Linked DNA regions of Saccharomyces cerevisiae S288C. The main gene of each other region encodes a partner of the protein of the gene in region 2 in a complex. Each region holds a gene or a part of one and is shown on either strand. Other genes may lie near its edges. A codon is read from its position in the direction of its gene.

What was found. The genes of interacting proteins can lie anywhere in the genome.
Region 1: the proteins of SEC9 (region 2) and SNC1 are in contact, whole or in part, in a cryo-EM structure (PDB 9CRU), measured with the Saccharomyces cerevisiae proteins. Residues at the interface, in NP_011523.3 of Saccharomyces cerevisiae: Leu465 (codon at 4,440), Gln468 (codon at 4,431), Leu472 (codon at 4,419), Leu479 (codon at 4,398), Met482 (codon at 4,389), Ala489 (codon at 4,368), Leu496 (codon at 4,347), Asp595 (codon at 4,050), Leu598 (codon at 4,041), Asp599 (codon at 4,038), Ile601 (codon at 4,032), Gln602 (codon at 4,029), Ser605 (codon at 4,020), Asn606 (codon at 4,017), Leu608 (codon at 4,011), Lys609 (codon at 4,008), Ala612 (codon at 3,999), Leu613 (codon at 3,996), Thr615 (codon at 3,990), Gly616 (codon at 3,987), Leu619 (codon at 3,978), Asp620 (codon at 3,975), Gln622 (codon at 3,969), Gln623 (codon at 3,966), Leu626 (codon at 3,957), Asn627 (codon at 3,954), Ile629 (codon at 3,948), Glu630 (codon at 3,945), Thr633 (codon at 3,936), Asp634 (codon at 3,933); in NP_009372.1 of Saccharomyces cerevisiae: Arg28 (codon at 886), Thr29 (codon at 883), Glu31 (codon at 877), Leu32 (codon at 874), Glu35 (codon at 752), Ile36 (codon at 749), Asp38 (codon at 743), Thr39 (codon at 740), Ile42 (codon at 731), Met43 (codon at 728), Asn46 (codon at 719), Lys49 (codon at 710), Val50 (codon at 707), Glu52 (codon at 701), Arg53 (codon at 698), Arg56 (codon at 689), Leu57 (codon at 686), Ser59 (codon at 680), Ile60 (codon at 677), Lys63 (codon at 668), Ala64 (codon at 665), Asn66 (codon at 659), Leu67 (codon at 656), Ser70 (codon at 647), Ala71 (codon at 644), Gly73 (codon at 638), Phe74 (codon at 635), Gly77 (codon at 626), Ala78 (codon at 623), Val81 (codon at 614).

What each region holds. Positions count from the first base shown.
Region 1 is NC_001133.9:85,624-88,252, reverse strand, and holds SNC1 (SNAP receptor SNC1), read right to left. Parts: upstream 968-2,629; coding exon 866-967; intron 753-865; coding exon 501-752; downstream 1-500. Other genes in the region: MYO4 (myosin 4), read left to right, coding at 1-398; protein phosphatase regulator GIP4, read left to right, coding at 1,222-2,629. UniProt on the Saccharomyces cerevisiae protein: SNC1 and SNC2 are vesicle-targeting proteins essential for normal secretory traffic between the Golgi and the plasma membrane. They may also be involved in vesicle fusion.
Region 2 is NC_001139.9:505,171-512,595, forward strand, and holds SEC9 (Sec9p), read right to left. Parts: upstream 5,833-7,425; coding exon 3,877-5,832; downstream 1-3,876. Other genes in the region: transcription factor IIF subunit TFG2, read right to left, coding at 1-689; mRNA splicing protein PRP18, read left to right, coding at 900-1,655; ECT1 (ethanolamine-phosphate cytidylyltransferase), read left to right, coding at 1,799-2,770; STF2 (ATPase-stabilizing factor family protein), read right to left, coding at 2,940-3,194; nicotinamide-nucleotide adenylyltransferase NMA2, read left to right, coding at 6,375-7,425. UniProt on the Saccharomyces cerevisiae protein: Component of a SNARE complex that may be the effector of SEC4 function in exocytosis.

The DNA.
Region 1 (2,629 bases), on a different chromosome or scaffold from region 2:
GCTGGTTTGAACCAAGAATTGAAGACGTTCGTCCCAATTTGATTCAAATAATTCAGGCTGTCAAGATATTACAGTTGAAGATAAGCAACTTGAACGAGTTCAAGTTACTATTCGATTTCTGGTATGCCTTGAATCCAGCCCAAATACAAGCAATTCTGTTGAAATACAAGCCTGCTAACAAGGGCGAAGCTGGAGTACCGAACGAAATCTTGAATTATTTAGCTAACGTGATCAAAAGAGAAAATCTGTCTTTGCCAGGGAAGATGGAAATTATGCTTTCTGCCCAATTTGACTCTGCTAAAAACCATCTGCGTTATGACACTAGTGCAATAACACAGAACAGCAATACAGAGGGCTTAGCTACTGTCAGTAAAATTATAAAATTAGACAGAAAATAAGAACAAAGTAAATATACGCCCATATATGTATATATGTATATATACATATATCCTACACTACATATGGAAGCTCCCTATATATATAGCATTGCGAGTGAACTTCTATCGACTAAAGTGAACAGCAATGGGGACGATGATTACAACAAGCAATATGATGATTACTAAAGCCAGACACATCTTCATTTTTAGATCCTTGTACCACATGGCTTTTCTGACCCTATTGGCACCCCTCTTAAAGCCTTGGGCTGAGACCGCTAGGTTATCGGCTTTATCTTCAATGGACGTTAATCTTTCACCTCTTTCTGCTACTTTATTTATGTTATCTCTCATTATTCCCACGGTATCATCAATTTCCTAAAAATAAACACGAAGAACGTATATGAATGTATACGCATAAGTATCAACGATGTAGAAAGTTAGTATAATGTTAATTTCCTAGATGGTACTCTGTGGCTTTCTGTACTTACAGCTTGTAGTTCCGCAGTCCTTGACTTAGACTGTACATTCTGGGGTCGTTCTTCATCGTGCTCGGATAGAGCATAAGGGTCAAAGGGAGTAGATGACGACATGGACAATGAATACGTTGCGCTTGCTATGTCTTTGGCGCAAATTTTCAATGTTTAACTAATACTTTTGACGATCTTTCTTATAGATGCTGTGGGAAAGACCCTTAAAAATGTCTGTTACCCTGCAATCAATGGTTGAAACAGCAGGAAGACGCATAATAAAGGCATATGTTTGAAGTTTGTTAGCGAATGAACAATGATAAAAGGAGTGATTGGAAGCTGAAGGTTGAGGATTTAGACTAGTTTTATATTACAACATGGTAGATGTGCAAAAGAGAAAAAAGTTGCTAGCCAAAGCTGCTGCCAGCGCTTCTATTCCGGCAATCAAAGGTTCTGTTCCGTTGGACTCGTATGATATAAAAATCATTCAATATAAGAACGCTCTTTACAAGCTGAATGAACTGAATAGGCTACTAAACGTTCTGGTACCGCATTTGAAGAAGAAAAGAGACAATGACGAGTCCTACAAAATTATTCCCCTCGTTAATTTCATCTTATCACTTTGTGAGGGTCCTATATTTAATGTAAGCCCCGTATTGGCTAAGAGGTACCATTTGCTCTGTCGATTCCAGCTGATAAAGCTAAGCGAAGTGCAGCAGAGATTATCAACTAATTTTATTGATGTAGAGGGCTGGATGTTTCCCGAGGAGGTACCCCTAGATCACTATAAATCGTGCATATACAATAATTCTCTACAATGGAAGATTTTAAATTCGCTGTCTTGCATTGCTCAAAATGCTATAAAAATTTATAATGCCAAGTTGAGACAGATTTTATTGGAAAGGGATGCGTACAAAGCTCGGTCACTTCCATTTGACACTTCAATAATTGAAGACTTGTTAAATCCAGTTGAAATGACATTGATTCTAGATTTAGCCGTTTTGATTAATGATCCAGTAAGGGATAAGTCCACCCATTCCTTTTACAAATTGCAATGGCAAGTGATGGAGAAACTGAACTCCTGTGTTCATTCGAAAATCTTCCCCATTCTAAGGACATATTACAACCAATTGCAGAAATTTTCGGAAACAAGACCTACTTCACTGTCAAATTTACAGAAGGATCTACCACATTGGGAATGGACTCTACACAGGATATACACTTTCCACTTGCGGGTTTTTTCTGTCTTGTGTGTTATTATCAGTTTCTCTAGGCAAATTTTCCTACCGAATAAACAACATTTCTTGGACATCAAGACAAGATTATCCAGCGAAAACGTGTACCATTACGATTTGATAATTTGTGAGCTGATGGCTTTGCTCTCTCCAGAATGTGATGATGTCACAGCTTTATTCGAACTGCAGGAGAATTTAAAATTTTGGACTCAAACGGCGCGTACCGATAACAATTCCTCAAGAACTCCCATTTTCCACCTTCAACCTGGTTTAGTTGTGGAATTGTTTAATAATCATATCTGCAAGATTATACCGAAATTGAGGTCCATTATGGGATTATTATCCAATTGGATGGATTGCTGGAAATATATTGAGAAAAATTATAAAACCTTCGATGAAACCAATGACTTGCGGGAGAATTTGAAAGAAAAGCTAGAAAGAGATAAGGCTCTGTATTTAGAGGTTAAAAACGCGAAAAGTAAGCTAAAGAAGAAGCCGTCAATAACAAAGCTGCCAGCCTCTTCTTCTCCATCCCCCTCACCCACATCTT
Region 2 (7,425 bases):
TCATTCATTGATGGCATAACCTGACATTCGTGGCAAACTGTACCCACAATGGCGGTTTTTTTGGGAATCGTCTTCACATATGGTATATATCTATCTCTACCATCCCTATCTGTCATAACTCTGTGATTAAACTTTTTTCTATTATTTCTACGTTTTTGCTGCTGCTGCTTCTTCTTAAGTTCCTCTTCACGTTCTTGCTTCTTCAGGTAAGCTTGCCTTTGCTTTTCAGGATCTGCTTCCAACTCCTTTTTACGTTGTTGATATTTCTTTAAATTTTGTTCTGTGAAAACATATTCATTTTCTACTACTTTCTTTGTAAGTTCTAAATCATATTCGTGCGGTATAGAATCGTTATCATTTTCATTCAATAGAAGTGTGATTTTACTCCCATCCTTGTTTATCCTAATTTTACCCAGTTCTTGGCCATGCAAGTTGTTTCTGTCCCTCCATTTCTCTGCTAGAAACATGGGCAATCTAACTAACCAGACTTGTCTATTACTACGTTCCAAGTCCAAATCTAAGGATTCTTCATAAACTTTGGTTTCATTATTCTCAATATCATTACCGTCAAAAACTTCCTCCTCTTGCGAAAGATACTCATCACCGGAAATGTTACCTGATTTCTCCTTCGCGACAGAGTTCGTGGAATTATTAGAAAGTGCTGGTGCCCCTGCTGAACCACTGCTCATGGTGTTAAGTTGGTCTTCTATTTTACTCTTAATATTGCGTTATGCGTTGAAGCCAACAGCATATGTCTTATTCTTCTAATTTCAAGCCTGATAATTTATTCATTTCGCGCAAGGGAAGATGAAAAAGTTAAGAAGAGAATCGACCTTTGGAAAGGGCCCCAATGGAAAGAACTTCAATGTTTTTTCCTCTACAAGTAATAAGAGCATAAAATGGACCTAGATCTAGCCAGTATCTTAAAAGGTGAAATTTCTAAGAAGAAGAAAGAGCTGGCCAACTCTAAAGGTGTTCAGCCACCATGCACTGAGAAATTCCAGCCACATGAATCCGCAAACATAGACGAAACACCGCGACAGGTAGAACAAGAAAGTACAGATGAAGAAAACCTGTCAGACAATCAGAGTGACGATATTAGGACCACCATTAGCAAATTAGAAAATCGGCCAGAAAGGATACAAGAAGCGATAGCTCAAGACAAAACCATCTCTGTAATCATTGATCCATCACAAATTGGTTCTACTGAAGGAAAACCTCTTTTGTCAATGAAATGTAATTTATATATTCACGAAATATTATCTCGTTGGAAGGCGTCTTTGGAAGCTTATCATCCGGAGCTGTTCTTAGACACTAAAAAAGCACTCTTTCCACTCCTACTGCAACTACGAAGGAACCAGCTTGCCCCGGATTTACTTATTTCCCTTGCGACCGTTCTCTATCATTTACAACAACCTAAAGAAATAAATTTAGCCGTTCAGTCCTATATGAAACTCAGTATCGGCAATGTGGCCTGGCCTATTGGTGTTACTAGCGTAGGCATTCATGCTCGTAGTGCACATTCGAAAATTCAAGGAGGCCGGAATGCTGCTAACATAATGATTGATGAAAGAACGCGATTATGGATTACCAGTATTAAAAGATTAATAACTTTTGAAGAATGGTATACCAGCAACCACGATAGCTTAGCCTAATTGTTGAACTATTGTTTTCGTTATCGCGTGGCACGATATCATGCGGCCAAAATAAGAAGCAAGAATGCAGATGTTGATAGCCTTTGTTCAATTTTCCAGAGACAAATGCTTTACAGGATCGGGACTTGAAATATACTGACTGGATGACGGTAAACTTAGATCCGGATAAAGTTTGGATAGACGGCTGCTTTGATTTCACACATCATGGGCATGCGGGAGCCATTTTGCAGGCTCGTCGAACAGTTTCAAAAGAAAATGGTAAACTATTCTGTGGTGTGCATACCGATGAAGATATTCAGCATAACAAAGGAACACCAGTAATGAACTCTTCAGAAAGATATGAGCATACTAGATCAAATAGGTGGTGTTCGGAAGTGGTTGAAGCGGCGCCATATGTTACAGATCCCAATTGGATGGATAAATATCAGTGCCAATATGTTGTTCATGGTGATGATATCACCATAGATGCTAATGGAGAAGACTGCTATAAGTTGGTGAAAGAGATGGGGCGCTTCAAGGTAGTTAAAAGAACATATGGCGTAAGTACTACCGAGATTATACATAGAATATTGACGAAAAAATCTTTGCCACCGACTCATCCTGATTATTATCCCACCACCCAGGAATTGAGTTTCTATTCTGTCGCCCAAGATGCCGTTTCAAAACATTGTTATGTCTTTCAGAGGGATTTGGACAATGTCTTGGTCAATGGTGGATACAAATTCGATGCAGAAGATTGTGTTTATGTTGACGGGGATTTTGACTTATTCCATATGGGGGATATTGATCAGTTAAGAAAGCTGAAAATGGATCTTCACCCCGATAAGAAATTGATTGTTGGTATTACCACAAGCGATTACTCGAGTACCATTATGACGATGAAGGAACGCGTCTTGAGCGTTTTAAGTTGTAAATATGTTGATGCCGTTATTATCGATGCTGACGCCACCTCAATGTCTCAGTATAACTGCGAGAAGTATCATATTGGCACGGCTGTCCTCACTGCTGCCGGAAAATTCAGTGAATACTTGACTAAAGAGCTTATTGTGAAGAGGGTGGAATCGCAAAGGGAGGTTTACATTGCGAGGAACCAAAAAAAGGGAATGTCCATATAAACAAATGTTGAAAACTTCTTCGAACGTAAATTAAATGGATGTAAGAAAACTGTATTACATAAGTCATGAAGTAGGCATGCAAGTATATACCTATAGATGCATATAAATCAGTGGAGAAGGCCACTATCCTTCAGAGATCAAAAAACCTTTTTTTATCTTGAAAACGCCCTCATTCCTTTTGGACGTTTTCAAACTTTTGTTCATGCGATTGCAAATTTGAGCCTCTTCTATCTTTCTTGAACACTGGGGGTATTTCACCATTATCAATTAAGTCATCAATCTCATCGCCTGGCTTACCCCAATTACCCTTGCCGGAACCTTGCTTCTTGATGTGATTTGGAGATTCACCGTAGTTACCAGTGTGCGAAAAGTACTTTGGATCAGCCTTTCCTTCACGTTCGGTCCACTTGTTTGTTCTCGTCATTTTTTCTGATTGGTTGTACACTTGAGCGGTTTGTTACTGTTGATTGTTCGTTTATTTGTATAATTGAGTTTACACAACAATTGTTACAATAGTATGGGTAATTAGGGCCAAGAGAGTGACAAAAAGCAAACTTATAAATAGTCCTTTTATACAAATGACAAGTGTTCGCTTCTGCGCTCGCAGCCCCCTGTTTTCGAAGGAGTTTCTTAGCCTAAGCTAGGCAGGCGCGCCCCCATTATCTATCCCTTCATTGCTTACTGAGAGGTTTTCCTCCCCCCCTCCGCGTATATTTCCTCCGCTGGAGAAAATTAGTTGTGGGACGGATAGCATCACTTAATTCTGTACCTTTTTGAAACTGGCTTGGTACTTTCTGTTGGATAGCAACATTTCCCGCTGGGATACTTCAACATGGGCTATGAATTTTCTTTTGTCTTTTATCTTTTATCTTTTATCTTTTATCTTTAAATTATTTGAGCTCGGTTAAGTTCATAACTATTGCGTGCCCGAATGGTATTCTTTCAATTCACAACCAAACATTAAAATGAAGAAAGCATACTCTTATATTATATCAATGTCTTTTTCTTTACTTATTTGTCTTTGCTCATAAATTTCTACATAATGGTAGTAATGGTGATGAAATGTTGTTACTTGTGATATATTACATAGTTTTTACAGGCATATTCTATCTGATACCTGCCAACCTGTTGGTATTCATATGGAGATTGATATCTAGATCATCAGTGCTTTCCTCAATGTTGTTGAGACGTTTTTGCTGAGAGTCTAATTCTTTACCAGTGGTCAAGGCCATTTTCTTCAATCTGTTGCTAACCTGCTGAATCTGGTCCAAATTCCTATCAATTTCCAATTCCATTTCGTCATCTTCTTCATCATTCTCAAACTGATATCTCTTTGCCTTTTCTAGAACATTCTTCCTCTGATATCTTTCCCGCACCTCACTTATGTTATTATTTGCGTTCATAGCACCCTCTATTCTTTGAGTGGACTGAGACAATTGTTGACTTGTTTGCTCTCTCATTAATTTTTCTTCAATTTTCCTATTCTTCAGCTGCTCTTCCCTCTCCCTTCTCCTTCTCTTGGAATTAAACGGATTAGAAACATGGACAGCCAATATACTACGGTTCAATTTTTTTAGTTCTGCAACTTTTTCATCTGCAACTTTATTTTGCACCTTCATTAAATCTAAGTTTCCTTCTACGTTATTCAATTGTTCACTTTGATGACCCAGCATACCCAATGTGTTCATACCTGCTCTTTCGGCGTCTTGAGCCATTTTTAGTGTATTTCTAGTAGAGGCTACGGAACTCTGTTTCGTAAATTTGATCTCCTGCTTGATTTCATCTACTGCTTCATCTTCTTCCTGCTGCTGGCGAGCCTCCTCTTCTTTTTGTATTTCTTCAAATGTTTTGTAACCCCTTTGATCTCCATATTGGTTATTTGTTGCGTTAAAGTGTTGCTGTTGCTGTTGCTGCTCATCCATGAACCACTGTTGCTGCTGCTGCTGTCTTGAACTATGATCAACTTCGGACGCATTTAAATCTATTGAATCTTCATTCGTCATTACTGCATTCAAATCAGGCTCATCTAATGCCGCTCTATTTTCTGCAGACTTGTCAGCATAAACTTCTTCAAAATCAAATTCACCTGTTCTAGGTTCTTCATTTAAATCAACTTCACTATTGCGTGCTGCTTCATCAGAAGCAATAAAAGAGGGCGTATAAGTCATTGGAGCTTGTTGCGATTGCGGTTGACGCACACTTCTACTAGAATATGGATTTGCAGACCTGTTCAAATTTCCATTACTATATGAGTCGTTCGCCATAGAGGCGTATGGATTTGCATTCTTGGAGCTTCCTTGTCGAGTACCGCTAGATCTATTAGTATTGGAGTCATACGCCCCGCCATAACTATTCATATCAGCGTAAGGATTTCTCTTTTCTTGCATCGGGTTTGCTAAGGGACTTCTTTGGTCAAGCGATAAGCTGTTGGTCGACGTTGAAACCGGCGGTTGCCTTGTTTGCCTCGAAGGCCCTACGTTTAAAGTGCTGTTTGAATGATTTAAACTATTACGGCCATTCGCATTCACCCAGCTGTTTGAAGTATTTTGGTTACTATACGGGCCATCGTTATTATATGAATTCAGAGATGTGCCATTGTACCCCCCTCCATAATCACCATAAGGCGCAGCATTGACGCTACCTCTCCCATTACTTTTATTAGCTTGAAACCTTGCATAAGGATCGTCATCATATCGGTAATCATCATTTTCGATAGCGTACGGATCTTGCATAGAATTGGATTCTGCTCCATTTCCGAGATCTTGCGTGCCACTTGAACCTCTATTAGAACCAGCAGTTGCCTCGTTAGCATTGGCATCTAAGGGAGAAGCATTCAAATCCTCAAGTTCATCCTGTGGCCTAGCATACTGCTCATAACCTGGTGGCGCGTATACCTTATCTTCAGCTTTATCATTTGCAAATTTACCGTAGGCGGCAAATTTCTCTTTTCTTTTCTTGCTAGGGTTTTTGACACTAATACCCAGTTCCATCAAAGTATCCTTGTTCTGTTCTGGTGTCGCTTCCTCTGGAGGCTTAATCTTAAAAAATTTCTTTAATCCCATTCTTTTGGTGTCAATGGTGTATTATTCCGAGTTACTCCAGGCTAGGTTCAGGAGTACCAAGAATGTACTTTATTTATTTATACACCGGAGCAAGTCATATAATTACGCAAACGATTCGAAATTGTTAAAAGCAGGATCAACGTATCTCATTTCTTTTTGAAAGACGGGTAATAGAAAGTCTCTGAGTCGCACCCCACATGGATATCGTACTATTCGTATATGGAATGTAAAATACTCGCAATACGATTTTATTTAGCTTCACAATCTCTCAAACTTATCGTCTTGATCAATCTTTACGTTTTACCAAATAATCGCCTGTTTCTGGCCATTTTTTGCTTATACCATCTACCATACTCGCTGTCCATATGTGACGGTGTCGTCTCCAAGAAAAATAACAATGTAAATTGACCCAGCGTGACGACAGTAGACTGTAAGTTATAGTACAATCATACTCTACCTTAGTCACTGTTCCTCCACTGTTAAGTAGAGAGAGAGAGAGAGTTTAAAGTGGAGAAGGCAAGAAAAAGTGCACTTATTACGTAATGGATCCCACCAAAGCACCCGATTTTAAACCGCCACAGCCAAATGAAGAACTACAACCACCGCCAGATCCAACACATACGATACCAAAATCTGGACCCATAGTTCCATATGTTTTAGCTGATTATAATTCTTCGATCGATGCTCCTTTCAATCTCGACATTTACAAAACCCTGTCGTCAAGGAAAAAAAACGCCAACTCAAGCAACCGAATGGACCATATTCCATTAAATACTAGTGACTTCCAGCCACTATCTCGGGATGTATCATCGGAGGAGGAAAGTGAAGGGCAATCGAATGGAATTGACGCTACTCTACAGGATGTTACGATGACTGGGAATTTGGGGGTACTGAAGAGCCAAATTGCTGATTTGGAAGAAGTTCCTCACACAATTGTAAGACAAGCCAGAACTATTGAAGATTACGAATTTCCTGTACACAGATTGACGAAAAAGTTACAAGATCCTGAAAAACTGCCTCTGATCATCGTTGCTTGTGGATCATTTTCTCCCATAACATACCTACATTTGAGAATGTTTGAAATGGCTTTAGATGATATCAATGAGCAAACGCGTTTTGAAGTGGTTGGTGGTTATTTTTCTCCAGTAAGTGATAACTATCAAAAGCGAGGGTTAGCCCCAGCTTATCATCGTGTCCGCATGTGCGAATTAGCATGCGAGCGGACATCATCTTGGTTAATGGTTGATGCCTGGGAATCTTTACAATCAAGTTATACAAGGACAGCAAAAGTCTTGGACCATTTCAATCATGAAATAAATATCAAGAGAGGTGGAATCATGACTGTAGATGGTGAAAAAATGGGCGTAAAAATCATGTTATTGGCAGGCGGTGATCTTATCGAATCCATGGGCGAGCCTCATGTGTGGGCTGATTCAGACCTGCACCATATTTTGGGTAATTATGGATGTTTGATCGTGGAAAGGACTGGTTCTGATGTTAGGTCCTTCTTGCTTTCCCATGATATCATGTATGAACACAGAAGAAATATCCTTATTATCAAACAACTTATTTACAATGATATTTCCTCTACGA